Linked DNA regions of Styela clava. The protein of the gene in region 1 purifies or fractionates together with the protein of each later gene. This does not show direct contact. Links are inferred from orthologs where the notes say so. Each region holds a gene or a part of one and is shown on either strand. Other genes may lie near its edges.

What was found.
Region 2: the proteins of lupus La protein homolog (region 1) and RNA-binding protein RO60-like purify together in Homo sapiens (affinity purification with mass spectrometry; 3 studies listed by BioGRID and IntAct, with this or other methods). This does not show direct contact. The link is inferred for Styela clava from reciprocal best matches to the Homo sapiens genes SSB and RO60.

Annotation. Positions count from the first base shown.
Region 1 is NC_135250.1:14,843,862-14,852,553, reverse strand, and holds the start of lupus La protein homolog, read left to right. Parts: upstream 1-4,718; 5' UTR 4,719-4,734; intron 4,735-8,692. UniProt on the Homo sapiens protein: Binds to the 3' poly(U) terminus of nascent RNA polymerase III transcripts, protecting them from exonuclease digestion and facilitating their folding and maturation.
Region 2 is NC_135256.1:17,385,566-17,393,939, reverse strand, and holds the start of RNA-binding protein RO60-like, read left to right. Parts: upstream 1-4,810; 5' UTR 4,811-4,994; coding exon 4,995-5,075; intron 5,076-6,201; coding exon 6,202-6,382; intron 6,383-7,157; coding exon 7,158-7,288; intron 7,289-8,081; coding exon 8,082-8,283; intron 8,284-8,374. Other genes in the region: UMP-CMP kinase 2, mitochondrial-like, read right to left, coding at 1-1,056; uncharacterized protein LOC120327945, read right to left, coding at 2,258-3,001. UniProt on the Homo sapiens protein: RNA-binding protein that binds to misfolded non-coding RNAs, pre-5S rRNA, and several small cytoplasmic RNA molecules known as Y RNAs.

The DNA.
Region 1 (8,692 bases):
ATTGGGGCAGGGATTGCAAGGCATGTTTTAATTGCAAGCAGACTGGTCATCTTAAACGGGATTGTCCACATCTTCAGAATCCCGCTGATCCTGCAACAGCTGCTTCCTCTTCGACCGCAAATTTAAACGACACTCAGCGGGCTTGAGGTCCTCAGTGTCCGCTGAATTATTACTTGATGACGGACCAACGAACCAGAATATAGACCTGAATATTTGTTCCTTGCAATATGACAATAGTTGGCATGCGAAGGTACTTGTAAACAATCAACCGTTCAATTTTCTTGTAGATAGTGGTGCTATGACTACTCTGATTGACATTTCCATCTTTGAGGCTATAGGTGGGAAAGAAGCACATTTAGCACCGCTCGAAGAATCTCTTGTTGCAGTGGGAGGACATGATTTATCACCACTGGGTACATTGGAAGTTGATTTGTCTATTGATTCTTTTGCATCGCGACGCACGGTTGTTGTTGCCAACCTAGGTATGTCTAATGGTATTTTGGGCATGGACTATCTCCGAGAACATGATTGCGTTCTTTACTTATCATCTGGACACATGATGATAGAGGGTCATGAAATCAAACTGTTTACTGAAAAGTCTGTACCGTGTTGTCGTGTAACTGTTCGAGAAGATATTACGATACCGCCATATTCTAAGGTTGTTATCCCTGCACAACTTAGTCGTCCTTGGCCGAAAAGCAATTTGTCTGACGTTGCTGCTCTTGTTGAACCGCTGAATTCTTCTTTCCTCGCTGATGGCATTCAGCTGATTTCTTCTGTTGTGGATCCAGGAGAGTCCACTGTTCCTGTTCTAGCGGTGAACCAAAAAGGCAGACAACTTAAGATCAGGGCTGGATCTTTGCTTGGTATTGCACATCCTCAACTTGTAGCACAAATTCAAGTTGACGAATCCGATAATCGGGTTATAGCTTCTGAATTACCAGAACATCTACATGACATGGTCAATTCCGTTGAGGATCTAACCCCGAGTCAACGTGAACAGTTGGTCAATTTGATTTGTGAATTTCATGATGTATTTGTAGGGCCAGATGGTGAACTAGGCCGTACTTCAGCAGCAAAGCATAGGATCATCACAACCACACCACAGCCGATTCGGCAGGCTCCTCGTCCAATGGGGTGGGCACGTAGGAAGATAGCCGAAGAAGCTGTTGATAATATGCTGGCTCAGGGTGTCATAGAACCCAGCGATTCCCCATATTCTTCTCCCATTGTCCTAGTTCCTAAAAAGGATGGTTCTACCAGATTTTGCGTGGATTTTAGATTGCTTAATGACGTCACATACAAGGACGCATATCCCTTGCCGCGTATTGAGGATATCATTGAGTCCTTAAACGGAGCACAATGGTTCTCAACTCTTGATCTCGCTAGCGGATATTGGCAAGTGGAGGTTGATCCTGCAGACCGTGAAAAGACAGCCTTCAGCATCCCAGGCCGTGGTCATTTTCACTTTGTAGTGATGCCTTTCGGTTTGGCGAATGCTCCCGCAACATTCGAACGGATGATGGACAATATCCTTGGTGATCTACTGTGGAACGGGTGTTTCAATTTTCTTGATGATGTTTTGGCTCATGGTAGTGATTTCTCAATGGCACTCTCAAATCTTCGGGAAGTTTTTATAAGACTTCGCCGTGCCGGTTTACGCTTGAAGCCCTCGAAATGTAAACTTTTCCGTCGAAGCACCTCTTATCTTGGTTATCTTATTTCATCTGAAGGTGTCTGTTGCGACCCTGGAAATGTTGCGGCTATCAAAGAATGGAAAACGCCAAATTCTGTCAGCGATATTCGTAGTTTTCTAGGCACAGCGAACTACTACCGAAAGTTTGTTCAAGATTATTCAACGATTGCTGGACCTCTTATTCGATTGACCAGGAAGAATATTTCTTTTGTATGGGGTACTGAATGTCAAAAGGCTTTTGAAATTTTGAAGCATTGTCTGACATCTGCCCCAATTCTTAGCTTTCCGAGGACAATCGGCGAATTTGTATTGGATACTGATGCCAGTGGTTTTGGGATTGGTGCAGTGTTATCTCAAGTTCAGGACGACAATGAACGTGTACTTTCTTATGCCAGTAAGACTATGTCCAAGTCTCAACGTAGATACTGTGCTACACACCGGGAACTATTAGCTGTGGTGTGGGCTGTTCGTCACTTCAGTCATTTTCTTCTCGGGAGACCGTTCAGAATTCGCACAGATCATGCTGCTTTGAAATGGTTGATCAATTTTCGTGAACCTCAAGGAATGTTAGCAAGATGGATATTAACTCTTGGCGCTTATGACTTTAAGATTGAACACAGACCTGGCGTGAAACATGGCAATGCTGATGGATTGTCACGCCAAGTTCGCAAATGCAAGCGAGAAGATTGTTCTGATTGTGGTACCAATGGTGATGTGGCTGTGAGTAATGTTATTGTAAGTGCAATATCAAAACAGCCCGGTCAATCATCGTCAGACTGTTCCGATTGTAATTGGTTAAATACCTACACGGATGAGCAAATTAAATCTTGGCAAAGTGAAGATCCAGATATTTCTGCTGTTTTGAAATGGAAACAACTTACTGCTCAGAAACCTGACATTCAAGAATACATGCCTGAATCAACAGTGACCAAACGTTTAATGTCGCAGTGGGACTTGATTTTTGTAGATAATGGACTTCTCTATCGTCGTTGGATTCCTGATTGTAAATCGGAGGAATCGCATATCCAATTGATTGTTCCATCAAATTTGAGGCAGGACTTGTTTCATAAGCTCCATTCTTTGCGCACTGCAGGTCATCTTGGTGCTAATCGAACTTTCAAGAGTATAAGGCGCAGATTTTATTGGCCTGGTTTCAAAAGGGACATTCTGAAATGGTGCAAATTTTGCAAGTCTTGTGCTTCAACAAAGATGCTTTACGGAAGAAGACAGGGAGATTTAAAACAACTTATATCTGGAGCTCCTATGGAAAGGATTGCCATTGATTTTCTTGGACCATTGCCTGTAACTGAAAATGGAAATGAACACATTTTGGTTTTGTCGGACTATTTCTCTAAATGGGTGGAATGTTTTGCTTTACCAAATCAGCGAGCTGACACCACTGCTGATGCATTGGTTACTCAATTCTTTTCGAGATTTGGGGTACCAAGAATTCTCCACTCAGATCAAGGAAGAGACTTTGAATCAAAACTATTTTCAGAAATGTGTCAATTGTACGGGATTCAAAAGACTCGAACAACTCCATATCATCCTCGTTCAGATGGACAAGTTGAACGTTTCAACAGGACCATACAGCAGATGTTGAAAGCTTTTGTAAATGAGAATCGAAATGATTGGGACGACCATCTCCCATATCTTTGTATGGCATATCGCTCCACTGTGCATGATAGTACAGGATATTCACCGAACAAGTTAATGCTTGGACGAGAAATCGAGATGCCTGTTGATGTTATGTTTGGCAAACCAGAGTCATCAACTCATCCTTGTTACACTGAATTTGTCGAATGGTTTTCCTGTGCAACTGAAAAAGCTTTTCTTCATGCTAGGCAACATCTAAATGCTGCTGCAACCAGACAAAAGCGAAATTTTGATTTGGGTGTTAAACCACTTACTTTCCAGAGAGATGAATTGGTGTGGTATTATTATCCACCAAAGCATCGTAAGCTGAGTATTCCTTGGATTGGACCTTATCGAATTGTGGACTGTTTACCTAATCACTTGTATAGGATTCAGAAGAATTCGGGAACACGTTCTCGAATTGTGCATGTTGACAAACTGAGACCTTACCTTCATGAAGATGAAGAAGACAACGACATTGACTTAACCGGATTTGACATTTTACCTGATGTGGAACCTATTATGGAAAATAATGAGCAGGCTGCTCATGATATTTTTGATGAATTACCTTTCTCTTCAAGGCCAGACACTGTACCAGAAGAAGTTACAGTTGATGCGAACTCTGATAATGGCCAACGTACTAGGCGAAGGCCTAGATATTTGGATGATTACATTTGATTTGACTGTGATAGTACTTTTAACAATTGATTGTTTTGATTTTAGATATACATTTCATTTGAGTGTACAGTTCTTTGCAGTTTCTTCATATTTTTATGGTTTTTCAATTTTGAAGATGGAAAATTTCGTTGTAATTTCCCATCTGAAAAAGGGGGGAGTAATGAGACGACCACGTCTATAACCCCGTTTTATTCTGTATGCCCATATTTATTCTTACCACTTGAGTCATTAGTGAGCAACTGTGTAACTTTCTCTTTTAGCTGGTTTGTCAGAGTGCCGGCAGTGTGGAATTTCCTCTGTGTTTTAGGTTATTATTATAGTGTTTAGTGCCGTTAATCTGTGTAATTCTTGTTGTAAAATGATATTAGTAGTACAGGTTTACTATTTCTCCAGTTTGGCATAGCTCTGTTCACTAGTTAGCTTGTATTTAACACTTCCGTAACTAGTCTATTTTCGCAGTTTATTTCCTGTGTGATTTCTATGCGTATTTCCATGTATATTACGTGTTTGTCGATAAGATAGGATTTGTGTTGTATCTTTAGTGTCATACTAGCTATTCTTATGTATATCTAGGTATGTTTTACCCGGTTTTTAGTATCCCATTATAAGTAAATAGTTCATGACTGTGACGTCATAGACAAATTCCGTATCTTGTGTTACGTATGTATCCTACGGTATTTGTACTGTGTTTTTATTTGTGTATTGGAGTATTTGGTTGTATTAAGGTGTATAATTAATCTAGTTAGTTAACTTAGTTACTCTGCTATAATTGGAACCGCAAGAAGATTGTTTTGTGAACGACATCTATTGCAACTTCAGTGTCCGATAATCTGGCAGAAAGAACCTGAGTGGTGATATCAATTTTGGTACGCCACACAAACCTTGGGTGTCGCTGCCTGATAATCAGTTCCCAGCGATTTCCCTTTCCAGTAAAATGTGTGTCAATTTTACTTTTTTCATAATTTCGTTTGTTATTTTTACTGGATGGAAAAAAATAAATTTGACCTTGATATGAGTAGACATTTATACGAAGCCGTACTCCAGATGAGCAAGTAACTTCATTAGTCGTTATCAGTTACAAATCCTTTTTGAAAGTCGTGCTTGTTATTCCTCGGGTATTCTATCACCTAACTATTATACTTATGAATTTTATTACATAACAAACTGCGATACTGGGTGTATCTAAAATCAATCTTGCAGCCTATTTTGGTGCCTATTTTTCAAAATTGTCTCAGGGCGCTTAATCGCGCCCTGAACCCCAGCCTTTACGTCAGCCTTTTTTAGTCATCTCGCTTTACTGGCCCGCGAGTATCCTCGCCTTGATATTTTTGCCCGCGGCCAAATAAGTTTGGGAACCCCTGCTTTAGAGCCAGTGAAGTTATACATAATATACAGTTATCCCAATTCAAATCGTCGACCCACTGCCCTATCTCCCTCCACTTTCCTATTCCCGATCCGCTGCCCTCTCTCTCGCCTCGGCCAACTGCTCCACCTCCCTATTCTCGACTCGCTGCCCTATTTCCCCCAACCTTCCTATCCCCTCCAACCTTTTTATCCTCAACTTTTCTATCCTCGCCACTGCACTATCTGCCTCAAACTTCCCACCCTCAACCCACTGTCCGAGCTCCCTCAACTTACTTATCTTCGACCCACGGCGCTATACCACTCAGTACTTAACCTAACGGCGCTATAATCACGACTCGATCGTCAAATGAACATTACCATCATGCGACCAACTTCCATGTGTTACACTGGTCGAGTATGCCAATGAGAGGATTCAATCGTACGTCGACAAAACATGATTGACGGTATTCGTAAATGTAGGCTGGAATCTCAATTGGTAATCAATAACCATAATTAGTGGCTTAAAAATGTGCTACCAATTGGGCTACTGATGGCATCGGGTGTGGAGTCACTGTTTTTAAAACTTTAGCAGGGCAAAAAAAAAATTCGATATCGACATATCTGAGTTCCTTTCCAGAAACTCATTCAATGTCGCCTGTATTTCCGAGCAAGACAAAACAATGAGGAAATAATCAAATAAACAGTCAAAAATATAAGTCGCTCAATGAGTGTAATCCCTTCCAAACTATTTTTAAACCATGACATGTTTTGTCGTAGCTAGCGTTGCCAACTGCCCTTTAATTCAGCGTATATTCCCAAAATTGAGCTTATCTTTTCTGCAACTTAATGAAGTTGCAAAGGACGCAGTTCGTACGTAATTCTTGGCATCGCTTTTACTGAAAAATGTTGAAGAAAATACTTTCTACGGACCAGAGCACTATTGCTTATTTCGGATCAGCATCATGTTGTCACAAGACTCACGACATGGCCAACTATTAAGGACATAAAACGGCTTTTTTTTTTTTTTTTTTCTTTACTTTTACGGATCAGAGTTTTCTGGTCTCGGATCAGTGTCTCAAAGACACGTCATATCCGAGTCACATCGGTACTAACGCTTCGTAGTCATGTCGCGGGGTACACGACCGTCATACATATCTGGGAGCTTCCGTATATACTATGCATTGCACGGTAAAAACTTCGACCCCGAGCTTCTGTACATGCTATTTGCCAGATAGCATGACGTTAGCCCAGGGCTTCCGTTAATGCCATGCATAGCTCAACTTCCGCTGCCCTGGCTTCCGTACATACTGTGTGAAGACGTGAAGCGCGCGCACAGCATGACATCCACCGTGAAGCTACCTTTTCGTCATTTCCGTAGGGGTTGTGATGGTATTAGCAGTTTTACGCTCCCGTTTGTGGGGGGCGGGGATGCAGTTATTATGGGGGGGCTAAGTCGCTACTCTGTTCTGAAGTAGTAGAGTTTTCCAGTCTGACCTGAGTTCAAATATTTGGGCTGATCCAAGCGTAAGTATTACGTTGTCCAACTCTTTGATATACACTTTCTATATCGCAGACGGTTCCATATCTATTTTGCCTGTCTAATTCAATTTTTAGTTGGATGACTTCAGATTTTAGTACAGAGAAAATTTTGAGTACAACAAGTTGGTATTTATCTTCAAAAGTGTTGTCGAATATTTGTTGCCGACTTAATGGTAATTTGTGGCCTGTTATAATTTCCAGTGTTTGGCTAACTGAGTTATGAAGCTTTAGATATTGGGGGCACCTCAGAAAGATGTGGGGAGTGGTATCCGGGTTTTCTCTACAGAATTTGCAGTTCAATTTCAGCAAGTGAGAGTTTTCGTTGTTTCGTAATATACCAAACCTCCACTTCCTGTGGCCAAAGAGGTACCCACCTCTCTTAATCCTATATGACGTTTGTCGTTCGGCATTTGAAAAGTGTTGCTTTAGTCGGTCATCTGCTAAGTGTATTTTTGGCCATTCACATATTTCTGTTCGGTCGAATTCATAAGACTTTTCTTTCAACCTATTGTAAAGAAAGCGCAAGGTTGCTCCTTCCCTTTCGGATTGGCCAATTTCCATAATATAACCAATATTCAGGATATGCTGCCAGTGATGGTCAATGTGGAGTGCATGGGGTGCCGAGTTGTTGTATAGCGACTTGTCGAAGATTCTTATTCTCGCGCCGAGAGTATATAGCGCCTCGAAGTGCCAGAATTCGGTTGGGGCATTTATGCTAAGTATTGTGGTCAGTTTTTGGAAAAGACATGCATGAGATTTTAGTTTAATATCTATCATACTTATTCCGCCCTTTCTCACGGGAAGGAGCAACGTTTTCCGAGCGATACTCTCTAGGTATTCAGGATACCATAGATATTTAAAAAATATGGACTGAATATTGTTAAGGTATCGGCTTGGTATTATTCTTGTTTTAGCTTCCAGTAGTGTTAACGGTAGAGCGAGAGATTGTATTATCAAAAGTTTTCCACGCCATGTTAAATGACGCGACTTTGTGTTGTTTAAAATTTGGGTAATTTTACGAATCTTTTCATCTTGCACTTTGTATTTTACCTCTTTCCCGTTATAAACCCCCAAGATTTTGACGGTGTCGTGTCGGTATTTATTTAACCAATTGTCCTTTAAACGCAGTTCTGCCTCTTCATTTATACATAAAATTTGTGATTTTTCCATGTTCAAGGCTTGGCCGGTCGGCCGAATTGTTCTATTTTTTCTTCCTTTTTCCCGAGTTTGATGCCTCTGATGTATATATTTTTTGTTACGGCTCTCGCGATTGGTTCGATATTTAAAGTGTATAATAACATGCTTAGGGGGCATCCTTGGCGGATACCTCTCACGATATGGATCTCAGATGTGAAAGCTCCGTTTACTTCTATGGTACTTCTAATGTCCGAGTACAGGGATTTTATTAGATTACATGTTCTTGTTCCAACCCCGATTTTTGCTAGCAGCTTATGAATGAAGATATGATTGTCCATGTCAAACGCTTTCATTTGATCAACTGTCAGGATATATGTTGGAATTTGATTTTTTTGGAGTATCTAATTAGGCTTTCTATGTTTCTGTGAATATCTGAGATCTGTCTATTTGGGATGGAGGATTTTTGAGCCGGGTGAATTATTGATGCAAATTTGTGACGTAGGCGGTTAGAGATAATTTTGGCAAGTATTTTGTAATCAAGGTTCAAGTTCGAAATCGGTCTCCAGGATTTGATTTGAGTTTCGGCGTTATCGGAAATGTACATCCTATCAATTCGGCGGACTTGGTTTTGACGTTTTATAGTGTATAGGGGCTGATTTTTGC
Region 2 (8,374 bases), on another chromosome or scaffold:
AAATCGATCTGCAATAACAATTCCATCATTAGCAGCTTCTTCAATCATTGCAGCAAATGCGTAATTGCCAAGGCTATAAAATGCTCTCCGAAGAAGTTGAGGATGAGAATCAAACTTTGGCCGCAGGTGGCAGATGCATTCTGGTGGCGATTTTAGAACTGTTGCACCAAGCTTTTCACCTAGGTTTTGTGTTAGTGTTGTTTTACCAGTAGCATCAAGGCCTTCAATGACAATCACAGGGTTTTTAGGTTTTAATGGGAGATTTTTCATCCAGTTTTCATTTTTTTTGATATATTTGTCACATATTGCTTTCAACTCCATGATTTCATTGAAAGAATCAAATTCGTTCAAAACGTCATAACATCGCTGAATATCATGATATACTGAATTTGTATCAGTGAACATAAAAGCTGGATGGACCTTTACTGGAGATGAAGCAATTAATTGAAACCCATTTAAGGTTATATTACTACCGCCTTCAGAATGATGACTGAGTAATTTAACATAAATTATGCCGTCATTTCCGCTTGGAAAAATTCTTAAGACTTCTCCGCTTCCCAGAGCACCACTTCGCGATACCAAATCAGAAATTTGCTTCTCAACACACCCTTTATCAAGTGAGTCATACAGCACAAAAAACCCACGTTCAAAATCCTTTTCATTGTTCAAACTGATACCTTGGTATACTTGATTTTTATCAGTAATACGAGTTTGAATGCTCTTTTTTAATTGTTCATGCCTATTTATATTTCTTGCAAAAGAATTATCGGTTAGAAATCCAGACAAATAGAACATGGATTTATCCTTTAGCAATGTTTGCAATTCTGTATTATCAGTAATGCCAATCTTATCCACATTCTCCTTATTTGATGTTTTCATATAAAGAGGTCCCTTTTCTGTCTCAATGCAGAAAATTTTTGATCCAAGGTCGGTTTGCATTTTGATTTGCGTAGCAACAGTTGTTAAAGTTTTAGAGAAACACTGATCGATTCTGAGGAACAATAATTTGCAAGAAAAATTTCCTAGAAATTTTCTCCATAAATTGTACTGGATCATAAATAAACTAATTTTACAATATTATTATAAAATAAATCTGGAATAAGATCAAAGGGTATTGGCAAGCATTTAAAATGATATAAGTTCTTCCCAAAATTTTTCTCTTCTATTTATGAAAATCATGCATACCGGTATATTACTCAGATCACAAAAGTACATTCGAACAACACATGCTGCATGATGAGATTGGACAAATATAAACTTTCACATTATGACAACATACATTATGACAGTATATTAAGTATATTTTGATTCCCTGAAAACGCATATACAGAACAAATCTATGAGTATGAACTCTCAAATAATTGGGAAAATCAGGAAAACTGGCAAAACAAAGGTTCTAAAACATAGAAATACATGCCAGTTGACCCATATTACGCACACAAACAATATATATATAAAGATAAAAAAGTTACGACATCTATCGGTAAGTTATGTAATGTAATGCAGACCCACTGTTCCAATATAAACTGTTCATGTCAAAGCGAACATGATTGGGCTGTGTTTATGATTTGGGATTTGTTTCCACCCCCCCCAATTACAGTACACGAATAATTAGATTGATGTAAGAAAATGTGGAATAGTATGTTAAATGAATACTGCGCAAGCAAAAATAAGAAAATTCTAAATATCTTAATTAAAAAAAAATTGTCCAAGTGGATAATATTATGCACACAAATAAAAAAAAAACATTCCTGAATTTTGATTTTAGAAACCTTTAATTTTCGAGTTTTTATTGTCAATTCAACTTTTGACTCATTTCCCAAACAATAACATTCTGAAAGGAATGAAAGTAGGGTTGAATTGATTTGCAATTCAATTATTTGCATTCTTGGACATATTTTCGTGAATATCCCATTGGAGTAAACTCTTTTCACATTGTTTAAAGATATAAGTTATCTCATAGGTGCACACTGTCTGTGAATTTTGATGTGGATTTTAATCTGCTTTTCAATATGGGTTACACGTACAAGGTTTCTCTCCACAACAAATCAATAAATTCCTTCGTATTGATGCCCTTTTGTGTAAAATTTTTCTGACATAGTTTGAAAGAATTACACTTGTAATGTACACGAATGGTCCAATTGTGAAAAGCCTTTTCCACATTGATCACAAACTTACAGTTTCTCTCCAGTATGAGTTCGTTTATGCACTTTTAAATTGGACCACTGTGAAAAGCCTTTCCACATTGATTACAAACTTACAGTTTCTCTCCAGTATGAGTTCGTTTATGCACTTTTAAATTGGACCACTGTGAAAAGTTCTTTCCACATTGATTACAAATAAAAGGTTTTTCTCCGGTATGAGTTCGCTCATGCACACGTAAAGCACATAATTCTGAAAAGCGCTTTTCACATTGTTTACAAGAATGAGGTTTTACTCCAGTGTGAGTTCGCTCATGCCCTTGTAAATGAGATAATCGTGCAAAACTCTTTCCACATTGTTTACAAACGTACGGTTTTTCTCCAGTATGAGTTCGCTCATGTGAATTCAGATGAGATGTTCGTGAAAAACGCATCCCACAGTGTTTACAAATATAGGGTCTCTCTCCAGTGTGAGATTGGTTGTGCTTGCGTAAATTAGTTAAATGTGAAAAATCCTTTCCACAAAGTTTACAGATATAGGGTTTTTCTCCGGTGTGAGTTCGTTCGTGCTTAAGTAAATTAGATATATGCGAAAATCGCTTTTCACATTGTTTACAAGCATGAGGTTTTTCTCCAGTGTGAGTTCGCTCATGCACTTGTAAATGGTATAATCGTGAAAAACACTTTCCACATTGCTTACAAGTAAAAGGTTTCTCTTTGGTATGCATTCTCATATGCCTGTTCAAATTCTGCTTTGATTTGAAGTTCTTCTCACATTGTTGGCAAATATATGGTACATCTTTACTGTTGGTTATTAAATTTAGCCTTGATCTAATGTTGCTATGAACAGCGGATTCCATAATTTACTGGTTGATATAATTTTCCAAGAAGCGGAATATCTAAGAATATTAGAAAATATTTTCATTTGGCACCCCGAACATTGTCATAAAATGTAGTAAATAGCTTTAATATTTTTATGATCAGCTTATAGCTTTCTTATCTTTTAAATGCAAATTTTGAATCGTCAGCTTGCTTTTCAAAGATTAGCTATGGCTTTTAGTGACATGTAATTTAGTATTTAAATGGTAAATACAACAAAACTTCCTAGAAGATAAGAGAATATAATATATATGTGTATATTGTAAAGTCCTTTAGTAATATGCATCATCAAAAGGAATCTGACGTAGTGTTCACTATAAGCGCACTTTTATGCCAAAACTGTGAGGTACAGTACCATACTTCTGCATTTTTATAAAGGATTGCAAAATCGCCGTTTTTCTTTTTCAAATAGAAAAAGTTGATCAATATGTAACAGTTCATGGAAACTTTTAAAACAACAATTTATGCAGCTGACAAATTAATCCCTCTCCAATGTTATAGCCAGATAGTATTATTGTGTAGAGATAGACTACCACAAATAATATATTTTAAACTCAACCTCGGACAACAAATAAAAAACTATTTTTGAATTTCAAATAAAACTTAAAGGGTATCATCTACTCCTACAGGCAACAACTGTCCTTGTTTCAATGAGGGACAACAAAAATTTATCTGATTTGCCTACAATAATACCTAAGCCGACAGCGAATCTTAGCAAGACACAGTCATGCAAATTGTCTAATTTCTGAACTAGGCTAGGACGATTCCTAACAAAAATACCCCAGCCTTATCTTATCTTACCTACTTTTCCAAGTGCAGTTTCAAGTATTCCATGGCGTCTGCAGCTGCCGCAAAACCATGGCGGTATTTCCATACCATAGCCGCTACGGCCAAACCTATGGCGACTGACTTTTTAGCTGCCACAAACCAATGTCGAGCTGCCGTTACCGCGGCAGCAAATTGAAAACCAATGGCAGGTAAAATTTTGCTGCCGTAACCGCGGCAGGTGGGCCGTAAGGACAGGGCTGTCCCTTATGGTGACAAATATTGGGTAAGTTGGAACGTTTTTCTTATGAATACAGTCTTGATGGATTTGGGGTTAGGGTTAGGGTTTAAGTAGATATACTTCCGCATGATCAATTAGAATTTGGTACATTAGTTTGTGAATATACCGTTAATACTGATTACTGAATACAGAATAGCGCTATAAGACTATGGCAAGAGCTGCCGCGGTTCGTTCGTGGCAGGAGCTGCCATGAAGTGGTAAGAACTGCGCCTCTACTTTTCTAAATAAGCAAGAATCACCATTAGGTTATTTGGGAAACTGGTACCGGTAAAATATTAGAAATCTCTGAAAAATCAGCACAAAACATCTCCGTAAAGGTAAATCTAGCTGGTCTGAAATTAGAGCTAACAAACATACGGTATACCGGTACCGTACCGTACCGGTACCGACAAAACGAAGTTAGGCACTTTCACGACGTAGGTACCGGTACGTACCGGTACCTAATATTAGATACCGGTACCGGTAACTGTTTTCTAATCATTTGAATTCACCAAATGTCTGAATGTTTATAAGTTATACCGTACCGGTACCAGTTTAGTCGAGAAGTTACGGCGAGCTCGAACAACACGACAAACTGACAAGACGCAAGTTTCGACAATTCGAAAGCAAGGTATCGGACAGTCGGACACACCCGCTAAAAGTCGGGGGACACACCCACTTTCCGCCGGGCAGCATAATCATGAACCCACGTGAGTGGCTACGCTTCAGTGACAATATTACCGACACCGATACTGTTTTCTCCCCATTCTCAGTTTGTGGCGGATATGCTTCGTCCGCATTAATTGCATTCCAACTTTAGTCATTTCAGTGCGACTTCATGCGTCTGGAGCGACTACATTGGTTTTTAATCTTTTAAAATCGTATACAGGCTTTTGCGGCATTGATTGTATGAGAGGATTAAAAAAAATATGGCAAATAGCGCACAAGAAGACAAGGGGGTGCTAGCGGACAATTTGAGGCCGGACGAAAGCACTGAATTCAAATGGCCGGTAAGCTTCGCAATAGCTTATAAGTTATATTCAGTACCGGGTACCGGTACAATTAAATTATATTCTAACTTTTTATAATAGGGAGATTTTATTAATGCAAATATGGAAAATTATATCATTATGTTCAACGTGTTCTTGTGTTATTTTCCAACAGAACACCAAAACCACTATTATAGCAAGAATGGTAACTCTAAAATTCATAATTGTATTTGAAGAATTTTCAAGTTCAAGGCTTCAATTGACAATTTTGATGATGTCACACCTCTAATTATTTCTTCACATGCCCCCTCAATGCAAAAAATGTTATTTTTTCGACGGAAATGCGCGTAGAAAGACGTAAACATTCTAATGCGCGCCGTTACGTGTGAAAATTACCATTAATTTTACTTTTTTTTTTTCACGTTTAAAATTTCTCTATACCTACTCCAAGTATGGTGCAGTCATATCATATTTTTCAATAAAATCACAGGGCCAGGGATGGAATGTATGACTGAAAGTACATGATAAACTAATACTAAGCCATTATAAGGGAGTTTATTGTTAGTTCATTTCCTGTCTCAATCACATCAACGATTTTAAATGTGGAAATCGATGATATTTATAGAACTGGCATTATCAGCGAATTTGGAGTCCTATTTACGTGAAATATACGACTCTACTATAGAACCTTAACTGTAAAAGACCATTATTCCCTTCTAGAGTTGGACTAGGCATGAATTATACTGTGCCTATGCCATCCGACATAGTATGGTTTTAACTTATTCAATTGAGTTTTGTTTTTGTTTTCTTTTTGTTTTTCTTGTGTGGAAATTTATTTGCAGTGTGTGTTACTTTAGCTCAATTTCGTTGACAAAATGGTAATTTTATATTTTTTTAAAGGTTGTGACTAACTCGATGACCTAACGGTCGCTTCGTCACATCCTCGTCACAATGCCTTGAAAATAATTTTGAAATGTTGTATGTATACTATTTGACATTGTTGACGAAATAAAATACTACTACTACTATGTTGCAAAAATTATGATTAGCCTATGTGAAATATCTCTGAATAAAGACAAAAGGCAATACGTATTGTCAATACTGCAATATTTTATGAAGTAATTCAGATTTTTTTCTCTTACCACAGGTGACTTCTAACAGCAAAGTTTGGAGATTTTTATTAAATGGCAACACGTCTTCTATGGTTAAACATTCATCAATTTTAACTGGAATAAATTCAGAAGAAATTGATAAACTTCTTTTTCAAACAATCGAAGATGGAAAAGGAATTGAACTTGTAAACACCATATACAAGGTTTTTTCTGAAGGTGATCTTCGTTGTGATATATTCTTGCACATTCCAAAATATTAACAAAATCTGTACCTAAACCACAACATTAGCACTTCTTTGATAAGACCATATTTCAAGTTGCATACATACAGTAAATCGGTAGTCGAACACATTTCGTTCAGGATTGGTGTTTGACTCTCCATTTGTTGGAGTATCCAAACTTTTTGTCAAAAGGAACAATGGTGAATATTTTAATTCATTCTTGCACATTCCAAAATACCTAAAATATTAACAAAACATGTAGCCTACTTAAAACAGCAACATTAGCACTGCTGCGATAAGGTCACATATCATGTCAGTATGACCTTGAATTTATTTCCCATGGTTGGGGACTCCCAGAAATACACCAGATCTATGGAATATTAACTGTATCATTTTCATTCATTCAATCTTAAAGTACCATGTTTTACGTAAGGTGATAAAAGTCAACAAACCTATTTGAAATATGTTATAAAGGATTCACAGCTGTATTTAATTTCGTTATAAATCTAACCTATATGATATTCGTACATTCTCTATTTCAATTTTTGAAGCAATATGCTAATGCTTGTTTTGTATCATATGATAATATCTTAAAGACATGATTCATAGCATATTATCATTCAAGAAGTGTTCTGGTACCTGCTGCAATTTCGTTTTTGTAATCATGTGTATTGCTCATTTCTTTGTTATATTTAGGATAATTTTTTCTCCAAACTTATGAGATATATATGAGAATATGATATCTTATGAGAATAACTCTTATTCTACAGGTACTTCAGTCAAATATGAAGCTATCGTTTATGCATTGACTTTATGTACTTGTTCGGAAAATGCTGAGGTGAAGACTAAAGCCTACGGTCTTGTGAATGAAATCTGTGATCAATCGTCACATTTTTTACAGGTCAGTTTACTACTCTTAATAGCATTCAATATATCCCAAAAATTATTTTATATGATGTTTTGTGATTCTTGTCTTTTAACAGAAACTGAATTGGTGTTAATAAAGTAAATGCTAGATTTCTAGTAATAATATGTTTACATTGAAGTTAGTGTTACTGTTACATAAGATGTATGAAGAATTCAATAAATTCAAAGTTAGTTGTGTATGAAAAGTCGTTTGAAATTCCTGTATTTTCAGGCAAATTTGTTATTTTCATGGGTAAGTTTGAGAGGGCCTAGACTTGTAGCATGGTTGTTTATTTGGGGAAAATTCATATCAGACTCCGAAACAACTCTAGCTTGGTAAAAATTCAGATTTGTTGAAAAAAGTTTCTTCAGAGAAAACCAAATAGCAAAAACTTGCGATAATGTGGGCATTTTTTTTTATCTATATATGATGAAACTGCTATTTGTACGATTTTTGAGTTATATAAAGAATTTTGAATCTCCAATGCATGGAGCCTACCTCTTACTCAGCTTCTAACTACTATTATTTATGTCAATAACTCCAAACTCCACAGATCCTTCTTGCCGAATTTTTATAAAATAAACTATTTTGCAAGGATTTGCCAAATATGGAATTTTAGAATTTTTTCTTAAATGTTGTAATTAATTATTCATAAAAAAACTTTTTGAAGCCAAATGAAATTGAATATGAGCTTGGGCATTCTCACATGTGACTTGATTTTTATACAGGACTTTATTCACTGCATAAATATTTATTATAAAATAACTCTTTATTTATATAATTACAGTTTGTTGACTTTCATGAAAAGATCTGCCTAGCGAAACGTAAAACTACCGGTTGGAGTCGTTCGCATAGAAATGCTGTCCAGAAATGGTATCAAAGAAAATCACCTCTAGAAGTCGCCAAATCAATAACAAAATGTCCACGTTACAATCACTGGACACACAAAGATGTTCTTCGGTTGGCTCATACCATACCTGAGAATGAAGGTAACCCCTTATTAAATTAACATAATATAAAATATGTAGAAACAGCAATTTGAAAACAGTGACGCCAGTTTTACTACAAACTTCCAATACG